Linked DNA regions of Saccharomyces cerevisiae S288C. The protein of the gene in region 1 binds, or shares a complex with, the protein of each later gene. Each region holds a gene or a part of one and is shown in the gene's direction. Other genes may lie near its edges. The genes, in order: CHC1 and YAP1801.

The links.
Region 2: the proteins of CHC1 (region 1) and YAP1801 are in contact, whole or in part, in a crystal structure (PDB 9EXF), measured with the Saccharomyces cerevisiae proteins. Residues at the interface, in NP_011309.1 of Saccharomyces cerevisiae: Val49 (codon at 4,119), Lys63 (codon at 4,161), Asn64 (codon at 4,164), Met65 (codon at 4,167), Gly66 (codon at 4,170), Gly67 (codon at 4,173), Ile79 (codon at 4,209), Val81 (codon at 4,215), Arg82 (codon at 4,218), Ala83 (codon at 4,221), Ile87 (codon at 4,233), Gln89 (codon at 4,239), Phe91 (codon at 4,245), Asn92 (codon at 4,248), Leu93 (codon at 4,251), Lys96 (codon at 4,260), Lys98 (codon at 4,266); in NP_012031.1 of Saccharomyces cerevisiae: Asn631 (codon at 5,560), Leu632 (codon at 5,563), Asn633 (codon at 5,566), Leu634 (codon at 5,569), Ile635 (codon at 5,572), Asp636 (codon at 5,575), Met637 (codon at 5,578).

The regions. Positions count from the first base shown.
Region 1 is NC_001139.9:97,946-111,478, reverse strand, and holds CHC1 (clathrin heavy chain), read left to right. Parts: upstream 1-3,974; coding exon 3,975-8,936; downstream 8,937-13,533. Other genes in the region: POX1 (acyl-CoA oxidase), read right to left, coding at 1,075-3,321; chromatin-remodeling protein SPT16, read right to left, coding at 9,403-12,510; SIP2 (Sip2p), read right to left, coding at 12,894-13,533. UniProt on the Saccharomyces cerevisiae protein: Clathrin is the major protein of the polyhedral coat of coated pits and vesicles. In yeast, it is involved in the retention of proteins in an intracellular membrane compartment, presumably the trans-Golgi.
Region 2 is NC_001140.6:415,709-425,955, reverse strand, and holds YAP1801 (Yap1801p), read left to right. Parts: upstream 1-3,669; coding exon 3,670-5,583; downstream 5,584-10,247. Other genes in the region: bifunctional ATP-dependent DNA helicase/ssDNA endodeoxyribonuclease DNA2, read left to right, coding at 1-1,346; 6-phosphogluconolactonase SOL3, read right to left, coding at 1,483-2,232; MPC2 (mitochondrial pyruvate carrier), read right to left, coding at 2,495-2,884; PEX18 (Pex18p), read left to right, coding at 5,884-6,735; TDA11 (Tda11p), read right to left, coding at 6,893-8,407; KEL1 (Kel1p), read left to right, coding at 8,777-10,247. UniProt on the Saccharomyces cerevisiae protein: Involved in endocytosis and clathrin cage assembly.

The DNA.
Region 1 (13,533 bases):
ACTAACTAGTATTTACGTTACTAGTATATTATGATATTCGGTGTTAGAAGATGACGCAAATGATGAGAAATAGTCATCTAAATTAGTGGAAGCTGAAACGCAAGGATTGATAATGTAATAGGATCAATGAATATTAACATATAAAACGATGATGATAATATTTATAGAATTGTGTAGAATTGCAGACTCCCTTTTATGGATTCCTAAATCCTGGAGGAGAACTTCTAGTATATCTACATACCTAATATTATTGTGTTGATAATTAGAGGTTAAAAATTAGTATTAATGAAGAAGTGAGTACTGATCTTCTTATACTAAATAAGAGAGGTATATAAAACACACGCCGATTGGTCATATTAATCATGACCAATATAATAGTGATTCCGGTAGTTACTATACATTGATGTGACGACTCATATTCCTCATATATGTACCTACCATATCATGTTCAGCTAATAGGTCTTTAACACAGCTTCAGTATTGTCTGAGCTTCTCGTTTAACATTCCTTCTGCAATAGGCGCAATCACACTTAAACGTATACGATGTGTACATTAATATACGATGTAAGCATTAGATTGTTACCATAGCAACTCATGTCACTATTAATTACTCTCGTTCCAACATATTGCCTTATTAAAAATGGAATCCCAACAATTACATCAGAATCCACACAATCATCATGATGTTTTAGAGCTTCATTCCAACAAGTGCCAACACAGCACATTTATTATTTGTTATGTATATAATTCTGAGATATTGAGTAAACACTCAATAATTACCTGCCATCTTAGTATAGTGGTTAGTACACATCGTTGTGGCCGATGAAACCCTGGTTCGATTCTAGGAGATGGCAATTTTTTTACTACTATACATTGGTAAATGTAGTCATGTCATTGATTCGTCATAGTTATGTGAATAGTATTAGATATGTAAATAGATAGAGAGTACCGTTATGCACATAAGATGGCCTCTCACTAGGATTTTGTAACTTTTTGTTAAAACTTGGCGACACTAGTTGAATTGAAACAAAAGTCGCAAAACAGAGGGTTCGAAGGAAAACAGGAAACCTCTACTCACTTGTTTATTTTCGATAAAATTTCCGCATTAGCTGCACCACCTAACTTTTGGTCAAATTCGAAACCTCTACCGAGCATGCTGCTCAACAGCGCATGATAAGAAGGCTTCCCTGCCCCATCTGCCTCCACTGGATTATTGCGGCAAACTTCATTGAAGTAATTGTGATAGATATCGCCATCAAAGTAACCTATAGGAGAATTTAACATCGCGTCAGGTAATTCAAAGGAGTCTGTCAGACCTATACAGTCTTTCCTCACAATTGGCAAAAGAGCCAATAGTTGTGGCTGCACAACTTTAGAGATCTGATCAGGAGTGAAGATCTTGAATTGTTGGAATTCTCCGGAATGCTTGTCAATAAAATACAAGGAAAATAACTTATAAACATTCCACATAGATTCCTTTGTAATTTCATCGGAAATATGTGAATCACGAGAGTTTAACTTGTCGTAATAGGTTTTCAACATGCAGCGCAAGGCATGAAATTTGGATACTAAGACTAAAAGCTTAGAAACGCTATCAATACTTCTTGATTTTTCAACTAAAGTACCAATATGTGCCAGTAATTTGATTAAGGTGATAGACCAAATTTCAGTATAATCACCCAACTCCTTTAAACCACTCTTTATTTCTCCAGAAACCACAGATCCTATGTACTGAGGTTTTAAGTAAGAGAATGAGTCCACATCCAGTGTGTTGTCAAATCTACCCTTTGTGGCTGAATCGATAAATTTTTTCAATATTGATTTTGCTGAAGTTAAAGATAAAACATTATTATCACCCTCCCATGTGCACTGAACCACCCAGTCGTCATAGCCTTTACCAAATCCGTTATACTGTGAATACCCATGTCCTCCGCAAGTCTGTCTCAACTCATCAATCAGTGTAGCAATTAACCAAGTATTGGTGGCTTTCAAGCTGGCGCTATCAATAAATAAATTCTTCAACTTTTTACTCACGGTAACCAGAGCAGCTTTGTATGCAGATGAGGAAGCGTTGTATAACTCGTCCAAAGTGGAATAATAGTTGTCCATTAACTTAAAAGCTACAGGTGACACCAAATATGGAACACACAATTGTGGTAAAACACGATATTGGTGAAGGGGATAGTCGATTAATTGTGTTTCAGACAATCCCTTTCTAGGTGCGAATTGCTGACGACCAACCGCGTAACGTACAGCAATAGTAGCAAATTTGGAGCCAAACCTAAATGAATCCATGACCATGTTAACTCTACCACTTAACAATGCACTATAACCAGAAATTTGATCCAATTGTGGCTCAGTTTTGACGGTGACTGAACCATCTGGAGAACGGACAACTTTGGTAAATCTACTTAGCATAAATTCTCTAGGGATAACTACGTTTCTGAACTGGATCCAGCCATTATCAATACCGTCACGACCCATCTTCGCTCCAATATCCCCTATGGAAACACCAGCTAACAGTTGGAAAGTCGAAGGGTCTCTCAGAGGAACAACGAATGTTTTTACACCGTAGTCTTTACCTTCAACGATCAATCTGGCGTACACGGCAGCGTGCGTGGCAGAATGGGCAGCCCCACCAATCCACCATTTGGTGGCAGTTAGATCAGGTGTATCAATTACAAAAGTATCATTTTGCTTATCGTACACAGCCCTAGTCTGCAGCTGGGCAACATTGGAACCATGTCCTAACTCAGTCATTGCAAAACAGCCATATATACCTTTCATCAAAGTGGCACCTCTCTCCTGCAACCAATACCGGATTTGCTCATCAGTACCATTGCCCTTGATACAATTACCAAATAGCCCCAAGTGTACACCCACGCGCGTACCCAATTGAGGATCAATATTTGCTACAAGTGACAATCTCTTATCGAATATAAAAAGGTCTTTGTTTGTTAAAGGCGAAGCTTTGTCTGGATCATTTGCTTGCAACTCTTTCATCAGGTCAGTGTCGCGAAAGTGTTTGCGCACTGTTTTGATATCGTGCTCCATATAACTAGCAAGCCTAGCTATTTTTTTGGCAGTAATTTCTCTCTCTTGCATTTTTTTAGCATCGTAATAGTCCGTATCAGTTTTCAATATAGGATCATTCACTATTTGGTCTATTAAGGCGTGCGTCAGAGTTCTCCTCTCCGGGGATGACTCTAAAAATGTGTTAACTTGGTCAACTTTGATTTTCGAATCCGCCCTTTCTTTCTGGATAAATTTTTGAGGATTCAGAACCACCGAATCGGGATTAATAGTAGTACGTCTCGTCATATCGCAATACTAATTTATTATATTTTCTTTTTTTCTGTGATACTTATTAGTGTCAAGTGTGTATTCAAAAACGGAGAGCAATATTAGTGATGATGAGCGGAATGAGGAAAACTTTAAGGCCTGTTCAAGTTGTTTAAATAATTTTTACAGGTTAGACCTTTATAAACACTCTTAAAGCCCCAATGTATTAGTGCTTTGACTTAACAACGCCAACGTTCTCTTGTGTACTTGCTTGTAGGTGATTTACCCCAACGGCTATTAGCCGCTAATGACCGAATTCCTTTCGCTTCGGAGTTTAATCAACTAATACCGTAAATATAGGGCTTAAAATGTGTCAGGGTTTGAACGCAAAAAAAGGAGGTTTATAATAAAATATTAGCACATTATAGGTTTTAAAGTTAAAAAATAATAGGGTTAATTTTATTACCCTACCCCCTTTTTTTGGTCGAGATCTCGCATTTTTCGTCGCTAGGAATAAATACAAAGAGAATTAAGAAAAGTAAAAAGTGGAACTGAAGGAATCTACAGAAATAAGGAGATATTTTGATTAGTTGTTCAGAGTAACTTATTGAAACCTCGACAATCCGGATCAGAGTTGAGAGAGAAAGAAGATATTCAACTATAAAAATAAATTATCACGAAAGTTCTAACCAATGAGTGACCTACCCATTGAATTTACCGAATTGGTCGATCTGATGTCCTTAGGAATTTCCCCTCAATTCCTTGACTTCAGATCAACTACTTTCGAGAGTGACCACTTCGTCACTGTTAGAGAAACAAAGGACGGTACAAACTCTGTTGCAATCGTGGATTTGGCCAAAGGCAATGAAGTGACAAGGAAGAATATGGGCGGTGATTCTGCTATCATGCATCCATCTCAGATGGTTATTTCCGTTAGAGCAAATGGTACTATCGTGCAGATATTTAATTTGGAAACTAAGAGCAAGTTAAAGTCTTTTACTTTAGATGAACCTGTTATTTTTTGGAGGTGGTTGAGTGAAACCACTTTGGGTTTTGTTACCGCAAGATCCATACTGACCTCGAACGTCTTTGATGGTAACGTAAATGCTAAGCCTCAATTGCTTACCTTGAGACACGCTAACTTGAACAATACCCAAATTATCAATTTTGTGGCTAACAAAAACCTTGACTGGTTCGCAGTTGTTGGTATCTTACAAGAAAATGGCCGTATTGCCGGTAGAATTCAATTATTCTCAAAACAACGTAACATCTCCCAAGCTATCGACGGTCATGTTGCTATCTTTACGAATATATTACTAGAGGGTAATGGCTCGACCCCGGTACAAGTTTTCGTTACTGGTAACAGAAATGCCACCACCGGTGCTGGAGAATTAAGAATTATCGAGATTGATCACGATGCTTCATTGCCTTCTCAATATCAAAAGGAAACTACCGATATTTTCTTTCCACCAGATGCAACGAATGATTTCCCAATCGCTGTTCAGGTGTCTGAGAAATACGGCATAATTTACCTATTAACCAAGTATGGCTTCATCCATTTGTACGAATTGGAAACCGGTACCAATTTATTCGTTAATAGAATTACAGCAGAATCTGTTTTTACTGCAGCTCCGTACAATCACGAGAACGGTATTGCATGCATCAATAAAAAAGGTCAAGTTTTAGCAGTAGAGATTTCTACTTCTCAAATCGTTCCATATATCTTGAATAAATTATCTAATGTGGCACTGGCCTTAATCGTTGCTACAAGAGGTGGCTTACCAGGTGCAGATGATTTATTTCAAAAACAGTTTGAATCTTTATTGTTACAAAACGATTATCAAAATGCAGCTAAAGTTGCAGCCTCTTCCACTTCTTTAAGGAACCAAAACACCATCAACAGGTTGAAAAACATTCAAGCACCACCAGGCGCCATTTCTCCTATCCTACTTTACTTTTCAACACTATTGGATAAAGGGAAATTGAATAAAGAGGAAACAATTGAATTGGCTAGACCAGTTCTACAACAAGACAGAAAACAATTGTTCGAAAAATGGTTAAAGGAAGATAAACTAGAATGTTCAGAAGAACTAGGTGACATCGTTAAGCCTTTCGATACTACTTTAGCGCTAGCTTGCTACTTAAGAGCAGGTGCCCATGCAAAAGTTATATCTTGTCTTGCCGAATTACAACAGTTTGAAAAAATTATTCCTTACTGCCAAAAGGTTGGATATCAACCTAACTTTTTAGTGCTGATTTCTTCTTTGATTAGATCATCACCAGACAGAGCTTCTGAATTTGCCGTATCTCTATTACAAAATCCGGAAACTGCTTCTCAGATCGACATAGAAAAAATCGCAGATCTATTCTTTTCCCAAAACCATATCCAACAAGGAACCTCTCTACTTCTAGACGCGTTAAAAGGAGATACCCCAGACCAAGGTCACTTGCAAACTCGTGTTCTTGAAGTCAATCTACTACACGCACCACAAGTTGCTGACGCCATATTGGGAAACAACATCTTTTCTCATTATGACAAACCAACTATTGCTTCCTTATCCGAAAAGGCGGGACTATACCAGAGAGCTTTAGAAAATTACACAGACATCAAAGATATCAAGAGATGCGTTGTCCACACCAATGCATTACCTATCGATTGGTTAGTCGGATACTTTGGTAAGTTGAACGTTGAACAATCTTTGGCGTGCTTAAAAGCTTTAATGGATAACAATATTCAGGCTAACATCCAGACCGTAGTACAGGTGGCAACTAAATTCTCTGATTTGATCGGTCCATCTACTTTGATTAAATTATTCGAAGATTATAATGCTACGGAAGGTTTATACTATTACTTAGCCTCTTTAGTCAACCTAACCGAAGATAAAGATGTGGTTTACAAATACATTGAAGCTGCTGCTAAAATGAAACAATACAGAGAAATTGAAAGAATTGTGAAGGATAACAATGTCTATGATCCAGAAAGAGTCAAGAATTTCTTGAAGGATGCCAATCTAGAAGACCAGTTGCCTCTAGTCATAGTTTGTGACCGTTTCGACTTTGTTCATGAAATGATTTTATATTTGTACAAATCACAGAACTTAAAATTTATTGAAACTTACGTGCAGCAGGTTAACCCTTCAAAGACTGCCCAAGTTGTTGGCGCATTACTTGATATGGACTGTGATGAGGCATTTATTCAAAGTCTGCTACAATCAGTCTTAGGTCAAGTCCCTATTAATGAATTAACTACTGAGGTTGAAAAGAGAAATAGACTAAAAATATTGCTACCTTTCCTAGAACAAAGCTTAAGTCAAGGTATCCAGGATCAAGCTGTTTACAATGCCTTAGCAAAAATTTATATTGATTCCAATAATTCTCCTGAAAAGTTTTTGAAGGAAAACGACCAATATGACACCTTAGACGTTGGTCATTACTGCGAAAAAAGAGATCCCTACCTTGCATATATTGCGTATGAAAAAGGTCAAAATGATGATGACTTGATTAGAATCACTAATGAAAATAGCATGTACAAGTACCAGGCAAGATATTTGTTGGAACGTTCTGATCTCGATTTATGGAACAAAGTTTTGAATCAAGAAAATATTCACAGAAGACAATTAATTGATTCGGTCATCTCCGTTGGTATCCCTGAATTAACTGATCCTGAACCTGTTTCCTTAACTGTTCAAGCATTCATGACCAATGGATTAAAACTGGAACTAATTGAGTTGCTAGAAAAAATCATATTGGAACCTTCTCCTTTCAACGAAAATGTGGCTTTACAAGGGTTGCTATTATTGTCTGCTATTAAGTATGAACCAACTAAGGTTTCAAGCTATATCGAAAAATTAGATAACTACGACGCCGATGAAATTGCTCCATTATGTATTGAACATGATTTGAAGGAGGAAGCTTTTGAAATCTATGACAAACATGAAATGTACGGTAAAGCTTTAAAGGTTTTAATCGAAGACATCATGTCTTTAGATAGAGCTGCTTCTTATGCTGATAAAATCAATACTCCCGAATTGTGGTCTCAAATTGGTACGGCTCAGTTAGATGGATTAAGAATCCCAGATGCTATTGAGTCTTATATTAAAGCAGAAGACCCATCAAATTACGAAAATGTAATTGATATAGCCGAACAAGCCGGTAAATACGAAGAATTAATTCCATTTTTACTAATGGCTAGAAAGACTTTGAAAGAACCAAAGATCGACGGTGCTTTAATCTTGGCCTATGCTGAACTAAACAAGATTCATGAAATTGAGAACTTGTTGGCAGGTTCCAATGTTGCAAACTTAGATCATGTTGGTGATAAATTATTCGAGAATAAAGAGTATAAAGCGGCCAGGCTATGTTATTCTGCTGTTTCTAATTACTCCAAGCTTGCTTCTACCTTGGTTTACCTGGGAGATTATCAGGCTGCTGTTGACACTGCTAGAAAGGCTTCAAACATTAAAGTTTGGAAACTGGTTAACGACGCTTGTATTGAAAAGAAAGAATTCAAGCTGGCTCAAATTTGTGGGTTGAACTTGATCGTTCACGCTGAAGAATTAGATGAACTGGTGGAAAGGTATGAATCAAACGGCTATTTCGAAGAACTGATTTCATTGTTTGAAGCTGGTTTGGGACTTGAAAGAGCTCATATGGGCATGTTCACTGAATTGGCCATTTTGTATTCCAAATATGAACCAGACAAGACCTTCGAACACTTGAAGCTATTCTGGTCCAGAATAAATATTCCAAAGGTTATTAGAGCTGTCGAACAAGCTCACCTCTGGTCGGAATTGGTCTTTTTATATGCTCACTATGATGAATGGGATAATGCTGCTTTAACACTAATCGAAAAATCAACCAAAGACTTGGATCACGCCTATTTCAAAGAAGTTGTTGTCAAAGTTTCTAACTTAGAAATCTATTACAAGGCCATTAATTTCTACGTCAAATTTCACCCATCATTACTAGTTGATCTTTTGACCTCATTGACACCAAGATTAGATATTCCAAGAACTGTCAAAATTTTCTCGAAATCCGACAACTTGCCTTTAATCAAGCCTTTCTTGATCAATGTCTTACCAAAAAATAACTCAGTTGTCAACCAAGCCTACCACGATCTGATGATTGAAGAAGAAGATTATAAAGCTTTGCAAGACGCTGTTGATTCTTATGACAAATTTGACCAATTGGGATTGGCATCTCGTTTGGAATCTCATAAGCTAATTTTTTTCAAGAAAATAGGAGCCCTGTTATACCGTAGAAATAAGAAGTGGGCAAAGAGTCTTTCAATCTTGAAGGAAGAAAAGCTATGGAAGGACGCTATTGAGACGGCAGCAATCTCTCAGGATCCAAAGGTAGTGGAGGCTCTACTCACATATTTCGTTGAAACCGGTAACAGAGAAGGCTTTGTTGCTTTGCTATATGCTGCTTACAACTTAGTGAGAATTGAATTTGTTTTAGAAATATCATGGATGAATTCTTTGGAGGACTACATTAAGCCATTTGAAATCTCCATAAAAAAAGAGCAGAATGATTCCATTAAGAAAATCACCGAAGAACTCGCTAAAAAGTCCGGATCTAATGAAGAGCACAAAGATGGCCAACCTTTGATGCTGATGAACAGCGCGATGAACGTTCAACCCACAGGATTTTAAGACGTGGATAAAATAATTCGTTTGCTGTACCCCATCGTGTATTTTTTTTTTTTTTACCGTTATTATTTTGTTTGTTAGCATCTTTGATTATCTGAGGGGATTTCAAAATGCCAATAAAAAAGACCTTATGAGTTCTGTATTTTTCTTAATATTTTCGAGAGAATTTCCCAACTATAAAATTGTAGATTACAGGAATAAATAAATTGCAGAAACTAAAATGATTGAAACTGCCTTTTCAATTTATATACTTTTATATCAAATTATGTTCAACTCTAGTAGAGTTTCTTTTATTACGCAAACGTCCTATGACCTTGACCGTTAGCATTGAGTGTACATTCAGTCCATTTACATTTCTTAGCATTGATAAATACTATGCCTAAATACCATCATTATTTTTCAGATACATAAGAGTAATTTTCTGTCAGATCAAGGTCTTGCTGGTGAAACCCAGTAAGTGTTATAAAGTCTAATCTCTAAAGTTTGCACCCCTATCAGCCCTAGCAGCCTTTTTCTCTAATTCATCCCAGTCTTCACCTTCCTCACTCTCGTCGCCAGTATAGTCCTCACTTTCATCACCACTAATATCGTCATCCACCTCTGATCCTTCTTCATCTTCAGAAAATGCGCTTTCATCACTTACGTCGTCTTCTGAAGCCTCATATTCACTAACTTCTTCTTCACTTTCATCAGATGCTTCATCATCTGAACCAGTAGCCAGAAAATTCCAACCACCATCTAAGAAAAACTGATATGGATCATCTTGTAATGACTTCATAATAGTTGCCCAATTCAAATTGATTGTTGAGACAGTGTAAGGAATATCCATATCTGTTAACCACTGCTTCAAGAAATCTAAAGATTCGATCGGAACTGTATTGATATGAGTGACGGGTTTATTGAAATCTTTATAAACAAAAACCATGTCGAAGTTTTTCAAACCAAATTGAACTCTTTCTAAAATACAGATTTCGACTTCCTCTAGGTTAATCACCAAAAATGGTGGTTCAATCAATTGAACTAAACAATCTGTAGTTGGCATACAGAAAACTGCCGATCTATTTGGGACACCTTGGAAGCCCAAATCTCTAAATGTATTCTCCACCGTCAATAAACCGTTTGATGCTTCTGCGATTGCGTCTGCAAAATACTTAAATTCTTTATCAAGCGCAGCTCGTTTTCTTCTTTCTTCTTGTTCTTGTTCCAGCTCATCCTCATCACCATATCTTCTGAATCTGGATTGACCTCGTCTTCCACCTCCAGTTTCATCGACGGACATATCAGAAGCTTCACGATAGAATTGGACGTCTTGTATTTTCTTTTTACCCATTAAAATTGGATTCTTCAAATGAATATGAATGACGACAATTAATTCACCTTTACAAGATTGAAAAATTAGATTCTTAATGTTTGAGAATAATATGTCTATTCTGCTATCAGTCCTTAGTGGGGATTGAAATCTGATACCATTTTCATGGATAAAGACAGTACTAGGTACACGTTTTGTATCTGGATTTGGCCTCACAAAAATTTGATCCAGTCTTTTCGTTCTTCCAGTTTTATTTTCAATCAATTTGTCCTGTTGAACAACATCAGCAAGCGCCTTACGTTCTTGCTCTCTCTTTGTGGCTTCTTTTTTCAAATCTGCAATTTGTTTAAAGGTTTCACTCATGCGGTCACCATCTTTGGATCTTAGTGTAATCGAACGTACAAATTGATTGTCTGCTGATTCCTCATACGGCAATTCCTCCACTTTTTTAGAAATACCACCAGAAGATCCCGGTGAATTAAAGTTCAAACGTAAATACGTATATTCGCCTTCTTCGTTTTTAGAACCATTCTTATATGAATTTATATGAAATGGGACTGGCCTACCGTAAATGGGTAGAATAATTGTTTGGCTTTTCCAGTCGACATGAATTCTTAGATCACGAATATTGGTTGGTAGTTGTGAATCCCGAACATAAGATTCATATTTTTTGAAGTATTGACGAGGTTCACTATCTGGGCCATTGGCATCAGCAGCACTAAATCTGAGTAATCCATTCTTTTCCAATTTTTCGTGTAGCTTCTTTTGGTTTTCTTTACGAATTTGCTCCTTTTGAGCGTCTTCGGCACCACCACGGGCTTCGCCACGTAACTTTGTTCTTAAAATTTTGGAATTTCTGTCTGGTTTACTAGGGACTTTGGTGGCAGGTGAAGATTTCTTTTTATTATTGTCTTCTTCTTCATTATTGAAATAAAATGATATCTGGGATTTGGCTTTGGTGTAATTTGTTAAGAAGCGTGGAGGCTCTGTTTCATCGAGAGGAATTTGAACCGTATCAGCTAATTGTAAAGCGTAGTTGTTAGCACTTTGAGAATCTTTCAGATTATTGAAACCAAACGAAATATTAAAGCAGTCACCGCGTTGGATTTTACGGTAATCATTCTTAACATTTAATATAAAGTTAGAATCTCTAAATTCGAGACCAATCAATGAACCAATGTTTTTGGTGAAATTGGGCACTAGTTCAGGTTTGGTTTTTTCGATGTATTCTATTACTGATTCATAAACTTCTTTTGGTGTACGGCCGGGCTTCAGAATGTTAGTTACAATTTCTTTTTGCAAAGTTAATAGAAAATCGTAGTTGTTGGCCATTTCTTCAGATGGATCGATCAAAAAGGTCCTAGTAATATTAGAACAATAATTATTGTAACGAATACCACATGAAGCTAAAATACAACCGTTGCCGTACAACTGATCATTGGTAGAACGGGCAGAAACCCTAAGATCAAACTTTTTCCCGGACTGAATGATTGGAGAATAGGTCCAATCCAATAAATCAAAGTTGAATTTGTAGTTTGGTGGGCATAATGCGCTTAAATCGGGACTCAATTGCTTCAAAAATTTCACATCATCAATTTTATTTTCAATTTTGTCTGATAACTTGGCATTGGTGATTTTCAACTCCTCGTCAACTGCCCGAACCATTTCATTGGATAAAAGGTCCATAAATTTGTCCGACCCCTTACTTGAAACGGACAGGAAGGCTTGTTCGTTAACATCCTTCACTTCCCAAACTTTAGAAAGACCCAGCGAAATATCAATGACATTGAATTCGTTCTCCTTCACAGCCGCTTCCCATACTGGGTTCCACTCAGTCATAAATTTACCTTGGTAAGAGTCCTTTTCAGGGATACCCACTGTTTTACCAGCGCTATTGATTAAGGCAATAACGTCATCAAATAACTTTTTATTGAGTTCTGGTTCTTTATTGTTTCTTTGCCACAATTCCAGCGTAATTTTGCTTTCAGGGTCTTTAAATAGATCAATTGCCTTTTGTAAATGCTTGGCCTTGGCAGAACTAGTAATTATAATAACCTTTCCGGGAACTAATGCAATCAAAGTAGCGGGAAATTCGTAACTTAGCAACCAATTATGCAATATGGTCGTCTTCTGGTACGGGTTTTCAGCGTTGGACGAACCTAAAACAAACAGCAGCGAATTTGGAGAACCTTCAAACTCATTGTACTTGGAATACAACAATTCAATCCTTTTCTTAAATACGTCAAAATCAATATTCAGCTCTTCCATATTCACTTAAATACACGAAGCCAGTTCACGAAAGGTGCAATATCAGAAAGGAGTAAAGTTGGAATAGCTGAACTTTTTACCTTTTAGTCCCGTGACTCTCTTAGCTACTTTTATTCCTCTTCTCACCAATATTAAGATTTCAATATTCTTTCGTTAGAAAAGTGGCGATTCTCATTTTCCGAAAAAAAAAAAGATCACGCGACTTCCGGGTATTAGTATCGTGGTTTGTGATAACAATAAGCATTGAGAGTACTGAGCCCATTAGTAAATCATTATGTTATATGCTTCTATATCTCTGCTTACACTAAATTGGAAATAGAAATTAGTGTGCCATAGCTGCCAAAAATATATACAATACGCCTTTAAAAAGTAGGAATCCCGGATTACGAGGACTCTATGGGCGTATAAAGAATCTGGGTGACATATTTCTGTTTATATCGAACGATGGAGGCTACACAAAGTGTATTGTGCTTAATGCTACTAGTAACCAAGTGGTTAAGCACCACATGGTTCGGAATGGGCAGAGCGCCTGAGTTGTTCTCGTTGAACTGGTCTTGCGTGGCATAGTATTTATTCAAGATAACATTCTCCAACTGAGGAGGTAATTGGGGTGGTGTCAGCCATGACGTATCAGTATTGCTTTGCTGACGATCCAAGGTATAATAGTATCGTTCCATGACAGACGGGTCAGTAAACACGGCGGGAATGTCTGTTGTATATTCCAACGGAGGTCTGGGTGACAGATCTTCATGAAACCTTGTATATCCGTCACCAAAATCGTCTGGATCCTTACCAATTTGTAGAGCAATTGAGGATCGATCGCTGGTGGGAGGTCGCATGGAATCTGCTTCCTTGGACCTTATCTTTTCGTTAGTTGGGTTTTTTTCTGGTTGCCTGACTTCTATGTAATTGACGAAGTTTCCCATCTGATCAGTTGCTGTGGGCAGGAAATCACTAACTCTAAGCTCATTATCCACTATAAATCTGAATCTATGTGTGCCTGGAAGCAGCCTTAGCTTCACA
Region 2 (10,247 bases), on another chromosome or scaffold:
TGCCAGGGACTGGTAAGACTACTGTTATCGCAGAAATTATTAAAATTCTCGTTTCCGAGGGGAAACGCGTGCTTTTGACATCATACACACATTCAGCAGTGGATAATATTTTAATAAAATTGAGGAACACCAACATTAGCATAATGAGATTGGGAATGAAACATAAGGTCCATCCTGACACGCAAAAATATGTCCCGAATTACGCGTCAGTGAAAAGTTATAACGATTATTTGTCCAAAATTAACAGCACCTCTGTTGTTGCTACCACCTGCTTAGGAATTAACGATATACTATTTACACTAAATGAAAAGGATTTTGATTATGTGATTTTGGACGAGGCAAGTCAAATTTCAATGCCTGTCGCTTTGGGACCTCTGCGGTATGGAAATAGGTTTATTATGGTAGGAGATCATTACCAGCTACCGCCATTAGTTAAAAATGACGCAGCTCGATTAGGTGGGTTAGAAGAGTCACTGTTCAAGACTTTCTGTGAAAAGCATCCGGAAAGCGTTGCAGAACTGACTTTACAGTACCGTATGTGCGGCGATATTGTAACTTTGTCTAATTTCCTAATTTATGATAATAAATTAAAATGCGGGAATAACGAAGTTTTTGCTCAATCTTTAGAGTTACCAATGCCTGAGGCCTTGTCGCGCTATAGGAATGAATCGGCTAACTCTAAGCAGTGGCTTGAGGATATACTAGAGCCTACAAGAAAAGTGGTATTTTTAAATTACGATAACTGCCCGGATATTATCGAACAAAGCGAAAAGGATAACATTACGAATCACGGGGAGGCAGAATTGACTCTACAATGTGTGGAAGGAATGTTATTGAGCGGCGTACCATGCGAAGATATTGGTGTAATGACGTTATACAGAGCACAGTTAAGATTACTGAAGAAGATATTCAACAAAAATGTGTATGACGGGCTAGAGATCTTGACTGCTGATCAGTTTCAAGGTCGTGACAAAAAGTGCATTATTATTTCCATGGTTAGAAGAAATTCTCAATTAAATGGAGGAGCGCTGCTGAAAGAGCTAAGAAGAGTCAATGTTGCCATGACAAGGGCCAAATCCAAGCTGATCATTATAGGTTCAAAAAGTACAATCGGCTCTGTTCCTGAAATAAAATCGTTCGTGAACCTGTTAGAAGAGCGTAATTGGGTCTATACAATGTGCAAGGATGCACTCTACAAATACAAATTTCCCGACAGATCAAACGCTATTGATGAGGCACGCAAAGGTTGTGGAAAAAGAACAGGTGCCAAACCCATCACATCAAAGTCTAAATTCGTAAGCGATAAACCTATCATAAAGGAAATTCTACAAGAGTATGAAAGTTGACAGGGGGAATAAGAAGAGCTTCTCCATAACAGGAAAGCTATCACAGCATAAAATATCTATGTCATTTTATAAAGTTTGGTATATATAACACGTAATATTAGCATCTGAGGTTCGAAAGCTCGCATGTGTGTCTTTTCTAAAAAGTTTTCGTTTGAACTTTTCCAAAAGCTTCCTCATTAACGAACCAGGATGTTTTTTCACCAAATAATTTGTTAACCAATGCGGTTGGCAATTGATCGTTTTTCAAGTCAAAGATCTCATGCATTATATTTTGTTTGGAACTGCCCTCAGCCACAAAACACAGGGCTTTGGCGTCTTTCAACACAGGCAGAGTGAAGGTGATTCTGTCACTTGGAGGCTTGGGAGAATCGTGGCACCAAGCAACTCTTTTGGTTGTTTCGTTCAGCAAGTACCTATGTGTTTCTCCAGGGAATAAGGAACAAGTGTGTCCATCAGGACCACAGCCCAACAGTACCAAATCAAGCACTTGAGGTACGATACGCTCGTACTCTGCAGCAATTTTGTTGTTAGATTCAGCATCGCTGCCAATCAAGGACTCGTCCATGGGATAAACGTTTGGCTGACTAGTCGAGGGTAATTTATCTAGAACAGCTCTCTTGAAGGCACCATAATTGCTGTCAGCGTCCGTCAGTGGCACAATTCTTTCATCAGAGAAGTAGATTTGCCATTTAGACCATTGCACTCGAGAAGATAGTGATTCGTCCGCTACTAAACTTTCATACAGAGCATCGATCAAAGAGCCACCGCTAACGGAAACTTTAAAGTCTGACTTCTTTTGCAGCGCCTCATCTTGTTTCTTGACGATGAATTCCCCCAATTGATGGGTCAAACTAGCCCTCTCAGAAAACACACCGACTGTCACCATTTGGTCGCGGACCAGGGGTAAAGCAATTGATGGTGCATTGCCTTCTATTATCCTCGAGGCCTTTCCTCTTTATATAATATACCACTATTACCATTGTCGGGGATAAAAAGGTAAGAAAAAAACGGAAAAATGCAAAAGAGCAAATTATAACACCGCGCAAAGAAAATATACTTTACTATTTTATGAATATTATACAATCCGGATATATATGCTTACGTACATATCTTTGACAAAGCAAAGTTTCGAGTTGTAAATTCGGCGTTTATCTGCCCGTAGTAATTTCCTTTTTGCTTTCGTCGGCGCCGCTGAGAATATAGCTACACAATTGCGATATAGAGTCGCCATTCCGTATCCTGTAGTTGGCAATTCTACCCAATTGATAGCCAGCGGTCAGACAAAGAAACGAGTTGACAGAAGCCAACAAGATGTTTCTTGGCTTGATGACAAAGGACCAACGAGTCCAAATCAGCGCAGTAGATAGCAGCGACAAATTTTGAGCACCAGAAATTTTTTCCACCGGTCTCTTCATATCGCTGAATCCAGCGAAAACCAGACCCCATTTCAAAGTAGGAGCCCAGAAATGCACCGTCTTGGGGCCTGTCTCACTTTGCCAGAACCGCCTAAATGCAAAACGTACGGATGATGTAGACATTTTTCTTTTCTTTAATCTTTTTCTGTATAACTTCGTTTATATAATTCGTGTGTCAATTTTCTGATATAGTGAGTGATAATTCTCGACAATACGTTCTTTCGAATGAACTAATGGTTTGCCGTCTATTTCAGTTTCCTATTGCAGTCAGCGATGTCAACGATGTGCGTATCAAACTTTACTGTTTTCCTCGAGGAAAAACCTTTGTGCTTCTTTTCTCTCGGACTTTTTCTTCTTTCTTATTATATACTCAACGCTTTTCTTTTTCTTCTTTTTTTTTCCATCCTAGTCATGCGCGCAATAGGAAAGCGCACGAAACAAATGAGTAATTCGTAGGAAACAATGCAGCCCCCAGGGTCAGCAACTGACGTGACTCAGCCTGGCTTTTGTAGAAAAAGATGACGCCCTGGCAGAGAGGTGGGGGAATTGAGGGGTCCTCGCTACCCACCTTAAGTATGGAAGAATATGATGAAGAATATGATGATAACTCTTGGAAGCGAGCGGCGGGTTCCATCACTTTTTACGGATTGGTAACACAGGGGCCTCAGTTCGATACTTGGTATTCAGGCTTCCAGCGTTGGTGAGTTTAGTTAGCGGTATGGTATGCACATGGTGTTGATGCTTGGTGGTAATCATTCGTTAGGTGAATTGAGCAGTAGCGATATTAGATATATTTAGTATTTTATAGCGTCTTTTTGGTGGGGGAGGAAGGACAAAACCTGTCTCGTAAATATAAAGGGACTGTTCGATATCGCAGATACTAGAGTATAAATTTCGATTGAGGCGAGATGACAACATATTTCAAGTTGGTAAAAGGTGCTACCAAGATCAAGTCAGCCCCGCCCAAACAGAAGTATCTGGATCCGATACTGTTGGGGACCAGCAATGAAGAGGATTTCTATGAGATCGTGAAGGGTTTGGATTCCCGAATTAATGACACGGCGTGGACTATTGTGTATAAATCGCTGTTGGTGGTTCATTTGATGATAAGGGAGGGTTCCAAAGATGTTGCATTGCGGTACTACTCTAGGAACCTGGAGTTTTTTGACATTGAAAACATACGTGGCTCCAATGGCAGTGCGTCTGGAGACATGAGGGCACTTGATAGATACGATAATTATCTGAAGGTGAGATGCAGGGAGTTTGGTAAAATCAAAAAGGACTATGTGAGAGACGGCTATCGAACACTGAAGCTGAACAGTGGCAATTACGGAAGCTCCAGAAACAAGCAACACTCTATCAATATAGCACTAGATCATGTGGAGTCCCTAGAGGTACAAATACAAGCCCTGATTAAAAACAAGTATACACAATATGATTTGAGTAACGAATTGATCATATTTGGTTTCAAGCTGCTTATTCAAGACCTGCTAGCGCTATATAATGCTCTCAACGAAGGTATCATAACTCTGCTGGAGTCTTTTTTCGAACTATCTCATCATAATGCAGAGAGAACTCTAGACCTGTACAAGACGTTTGTTGATTTGACCGAGCACGTTGTCAGGTACTTGAAGAGCGGGAAGACTGCGGGCTTGAAAATACCCGTCATCAAGCATATCACTACCAAACTGGTCAGATCGCTAGAAGAACATCTGATAGAGGATGATAAGACGCACAACACTTTTGTGCCCGTTGACAGTTCTCAAGGAAGTGCTGGGGCCGTAGTAGCCAAATCTACTGCACAGGAAAGGTTGGAGCAAATCCGGGAACAAAAAAGGATACTAGAGGCACAATTGAAAAACGAACAAGTAGCGATTTCCCCTGCTCTAACTACTGTCACGGCGGCTCAATCTTACAACCCGTTTGGAACAGACTCTTCTATGCATACTAACATTCCAATGGCTGTGGCTAATCAAACGCAACAGATCGCAAATAACCCATTTGTATCTCAAACTCAGCCACAGGTGATGAATACACCAACCGCTCATACAGAGCCCGCAAATTTAAACGTTCCTGAATATGCAGCGGTCCAACACACAGTGAACTTCAACCCTGTACAAGATGCTGGCGTAAGTGCCCAACAAACGGGGTACTATTCGATTAACAACCATTTAACACCCACATTTACAGGTGCAGGGTTTGGAGGATACTCCGTTTCACAGGATACAACTGCCGCTTCTAATCAACAAGTCTCTCATTCACAAACTGGTTCTAACAACCCGTTCGCATTGCACAACGCCGCGACGATCGCAACAGGGAATCCTGCACACGAAAATGTCTTAAATAACCCATTTTCACGACCAAACTTTGATGAACAAAATACCAATATGCCGCTACAACAACAGATAATAAGTAACCCTTTTCAAAACCAAACGTACAATCAACAACAATTTCAACAACAAAAAATGCCTTTGAGCTCGATCAATAGCGTTATGACAACCCCTACTAGCATGCAGGGATCGATGAATATTCCTCAGCGTTTTGATAAAATGGAATTTCAGGCTCACTACACTCAGAATCATCTCCAACAACAGCAACAACAGCAACAGCAACAACAGCAACAGCAACAACAGCAACCACAACAGGGTTATTATGTGCCTGCAACTGCAGGAGCCAACCCTGTTACAAATATAACTGGGACAGTTCAACCTCAAAATTTCCCTTTCTATCCACAACAGCAACCACAACCGGAACAGTCTCAAACACAGCAACCAGTTTTAGGAAACCAATATGCTAACAACCTCAATTTAATTGATATGTAATATCTAGTATAATCAGGTATGTAAGGGAGTACTCAAGTGCATCTTTGGATAGCTATATATAGTTGTAAGGAAGAGCTATGTAATTTTTGCCATTTTGTACATATTTTGCATTTGTCCTATAGTATGTAATACTTACATCTTACTGTCTTCAATTCCTCCCGCCAACAAAAGATTTCGATAGCGCCGCACCATGGAGTTTATATTGTTATTTCCGAGACGACCTATATAAGGGAAAAGACGAAAACTGGGTATTTGATACTTGTCTAAACTTCAATGGACAAATGATATAAAATACAAACAATGAATAGTAACCGATGCCAAACGAATGAGGTGAATAAATTTATTAGTAGTACAGAAAAGGGGCCTTTTACGGGCAGGGACAATACGCTCTCTTTTAACAAAATCGGGAGCAGACTGAATTCACCACCGATTCTGAAGGATAAAATTGAGCTGAAATTTCTACAACACTCAGAAGATTTGAATCAATCACGGTCCTACGTAAATATTCGTCCTAGAACCTTAGAGGATCAAAGTTACAAATTTGAAGCGCCAAATCTAAATGACAATGAAACTTCTTGGGCCAAGGATTTTAGATATAACTTCCCTAAGAATGTTGAACCGCCCATCGAAAATCAAATCGCGAATCTTAATATAAACAACGGGCTACGGACATCTCAGACAGATTTTCCCTTAGGCTTTTATTCACAGAAAAACTTTAACATTGCTTCCTTCCCTGTGGTTGACCATCAGATATTCAAGACAACAGGTTTAGAACATCCTATCAACAGCCACATTGATTCTTTAATTAATGCTGAATTTTCGGAACTGGAAGCCAGTAGTTTGGAAGAAGATGTCCATACAGAAGAGGAAAATTCAGGTACGAGTCTGGAAGATGAAGAAACTGCCATGAAAGGTTTGGCTTCCGATATAATTGAGTTTTGCGATAATAATAGTGCCAATAAAGATGTAAAAGAAAGACTAAACAGTTCAAAGTTTATGGGGCTGATGGGCAGCATTAGTGATGGTTCTATAGTTTTAAAGAAGGATAACGGTACAGAAAGAAACCTTCAAAAACACGTAGGTTTTTGTTTTCAGAATTCAGGAAACTGGGCTGGTCTTGAGTTCCATGATGTTGAAGACAGAATTGCTTAACGGGCCTTGAAATTTCTTTAATTTAAACCATGAATTTCAGATATATAACACTTTTTAACCACTTTCAAGAGAAAACAGTATTAAATTACATACTGCGTTCACAGCTATACGTAAAAAGAGTGACAAGTGAAGAATAAACGTCATTTTGAAAAAGGAATTAGAAGTCTGTCATTTCAACTGAGTTTTTGACGGAGGAATTATCATTATCGGGTTCTCCAATAAAACTTAGCTTGTTACTACTTCTTTTACTTTTTTTTTCTCGTGTTCGATGTCCACTTTCATCTGTGAGACTATTATTCCCAGCATTGTCTTTCTGGAACTTAGTTGTCGTTTTAAATTTCCTCATGTTTAAACTAGAATCGTCGCCACTATCTTCTGCTTGCCCCCGGTTCGTAATTTTATGTGTACTTTTTTTCTGTTCATGCTGTCTATCGCTTTTATATACAGGATCACATCTGTTATCAGTAATAACATCATTATCGTTTTCTTCTTCTATACCGAGTAATCCGGCCTTGACATCGCTAACAAAGCTCCAAAGCGACCTGGAGACTGATCCTTGCGAAGGAGATTTTTGGCGAGCTCCAGGTGCTTCATTATCGTACTGTTGCGCGGACGACTCGCTATTACTAGTCGGTGTCCCTTCCTGTACCTCAGGCGTACCTGAAAGAGAGTCATCCCAATTCAGAGTTCTTTCAATTTCATGCTGAATGATTTTATCAAACTGATTAAACAGAGCTAATGGTTTGCTCCAAAGTGACTGTTTGGATGAATCTGACGAGTCGTCCCTTTGGCGCCTTTCTTGAATATCTTGCGGAGACACAGATCTTGACTGATTAGTACTTTGATGACCCATGTTCTTTGGTTTACTGACAGAACTAGGAAGGCTGCTGTTACCAGCATTTTCAGTTCGTGATTCCAAAGGTATATTCTGGTAAACCGGTGAAAAAGCCCGGTTTTTAACAGGTGTATTTAGAGAGGGATCCAAATGTTTACTCACTTGCTCCTTGAGTTCATGCAGTTCACGTGCCCGACGAGTATAGTTTTGCTCTTCATGCTGGGTTTGCTTTTTCAAATCTTCAATCTTTTGTTTGCATTCCAGAAGTTCTAACTCTTTTGTAGCGAGAGATTGTAGAAGCGCACTTACATCGACCCCATTTGTTGGTATGGTGGTCGCTATCATACTATTAACCGACTGCGAACTCCCATTTCTAGACCGTCGAAGTCCGCTGGCCATCGCTTGCTCACTAGAAAGTACAGTGGTTGACTCTAATGGGATTCCATAGGATCCCTCAGAATGACTTACTGAAGGTAAGTTGTTTTGAGATTCTGGTGTAGTGGGAACAACCATGGGTTGAATAAGTGATCTTCTCTTGCTCATTGCATTTGGAACTGAGACAGAAGAATGACGAGTTACCACCCTCCTAGCATCTGGCTTGGCTTGTAAGGGATGGTCCTGGTCATTTAATCTGGTAGGCGTCATTAGTCTTTGCGAATGCATGCTTCCCGCACTGGACGTACGATGGTGTTCTAGCCTATATCCATTGGAACTAGCAGAACGAATCTTTCGTCCAGTTTTCCTCACAGGTGACATCGAAATTATACTATTTCGGGTACTGGTGTCCACATCCAAATCCTTCTCATTAGACTCTATAAACTCGTCAAATTTATTCATATCAGTGCCCTAGGAGATAGATTTAATTATCCTCGGATCCATGTAGTGGTAATTGAGAAAAGCACAGTTAGTATTGGCCTTTTTCCTTACCTATTATATTGAACTTTACAACTTGTACCCTTCATCACCTTTGGAATCACGCGGCACGTCTTCTGGGGACTTGGCGACGCGGTTGTTGATAGTAAACTACAAGCAAGCATTCCTTTAAAATACGAAACAATAAGATATAGAAAAGCAACAGGGCTCGTTCTATAAAGTAATTGTTTTGCTTGATTTGTGATACTTACACTTATTAACAAATTCACAGTAATTTTTCAGGAAAAGTTAGAGCCCGTTTGCTTCAATTTGCACCTAGAAAATAACTCAAACATGGCTGGATTCAGCTTCGCCAAGAAATTCACTCACAAGAAACATGGAAAGACGCCTTCTGATGCTTCTATCTCTGACCAATCTAGAGAAGCTTCACTGTCAACTCCTCCAAATGAAAAATTTTTCACAAAACAAGAAACGCCTCAGAAAGGGCGTCAATTTTCACAAGGTTACCATTCTAATGTTAATAAAACTAGTTCACCACCTATGTTTGCCAGAAAACAGGTATCCGAATCAAGGATTCAACCGAGCGCAGTACCACCGCAACAGCGAAATGTCTCAGGACCGTCCACTACTCTCCATAAGCAGCTTTCAAAACAGAGAGAATATACCGTATGGAATAGAATCAAGTTACAGAATTCTCCTTTTCCACGTTATAGACATGTTGCTTCAGCATATGTTACAGACAAGAACCAGATATATGTTATTGGGGGACTTCATGACCAATCTGTGTACGGCGATACATGGATATTAACGGCCTTCGATAATGCCACCAGATTTTCCACTACAACGATAGACATAAGTGAAGCTACACCACCACCAAGGGTAGGCCACGCTGCTGTATTATGCGGGAATGCCTTTGTTGTATTTGGCGGTGACACACACAAAGTCAATAAGGAAGGTTTGATGGACGATGACATATACCTTTTGAATATTAATTCCTATAAATGGACAGTCCCGGCACCCGTGGGACCACGTCCATTGGGAAGGTACGGTCATAAAATTTCGATTATCGCCACAACTCAAATGAAAACAAAACTGTACGTGTTTGGTGGTCAATTTGATGACACCTACTTCAACGACTTGGCTGTTTACGACTTATCTTCTTTTAGAAGACCGGACTCTCATTGGGAATTTTTGAAACCAAGGACCTTTACACCACCACCTATTACCAATTTTACTATGATATCATACGATTCTAAACTATGGGTATTTGGTGGCGATACCTTACAAGGTTTAGTAAATGATGTGTTTATGTACGACCCTGCAATAAATGATTGGTTTATCATTGATACCACGGGTGAAAAGCCTCCTCCAGTTCAAGAACATGCTACTGTAGTCTACAACGATCTGATGTGTGTTGTAGGCGGGAAAGATGAGCATGATGCTTATTTGAACTCCGTGTATTTCCTAAACTTGAAATCGCGTAAATGGTTTAAATTACCTGTATTTACGGCTGGAATTCCGCAAGGCCGTTCTGGGCATTCTTTAACATTATTAAAAAATGATAAAATTTTGATTATGGGAGGAGATAAATTTGATTACGCTAGAGTCGAGGAGTACGACTTGCATACCTCTGATATTGATATGCAAAGAGGTACAATTGTTTATACGCTAGACTTGGCCCGCATAAAGGACCTTTGTCCAGGCGTAATGGATGTTCCAACTGATACGCCAACTCCGAGAAATGGTAATCTTGACCTGGCGACGCCCGTTACCCCAACCTCTCATCAAACTAAAAATATGAACG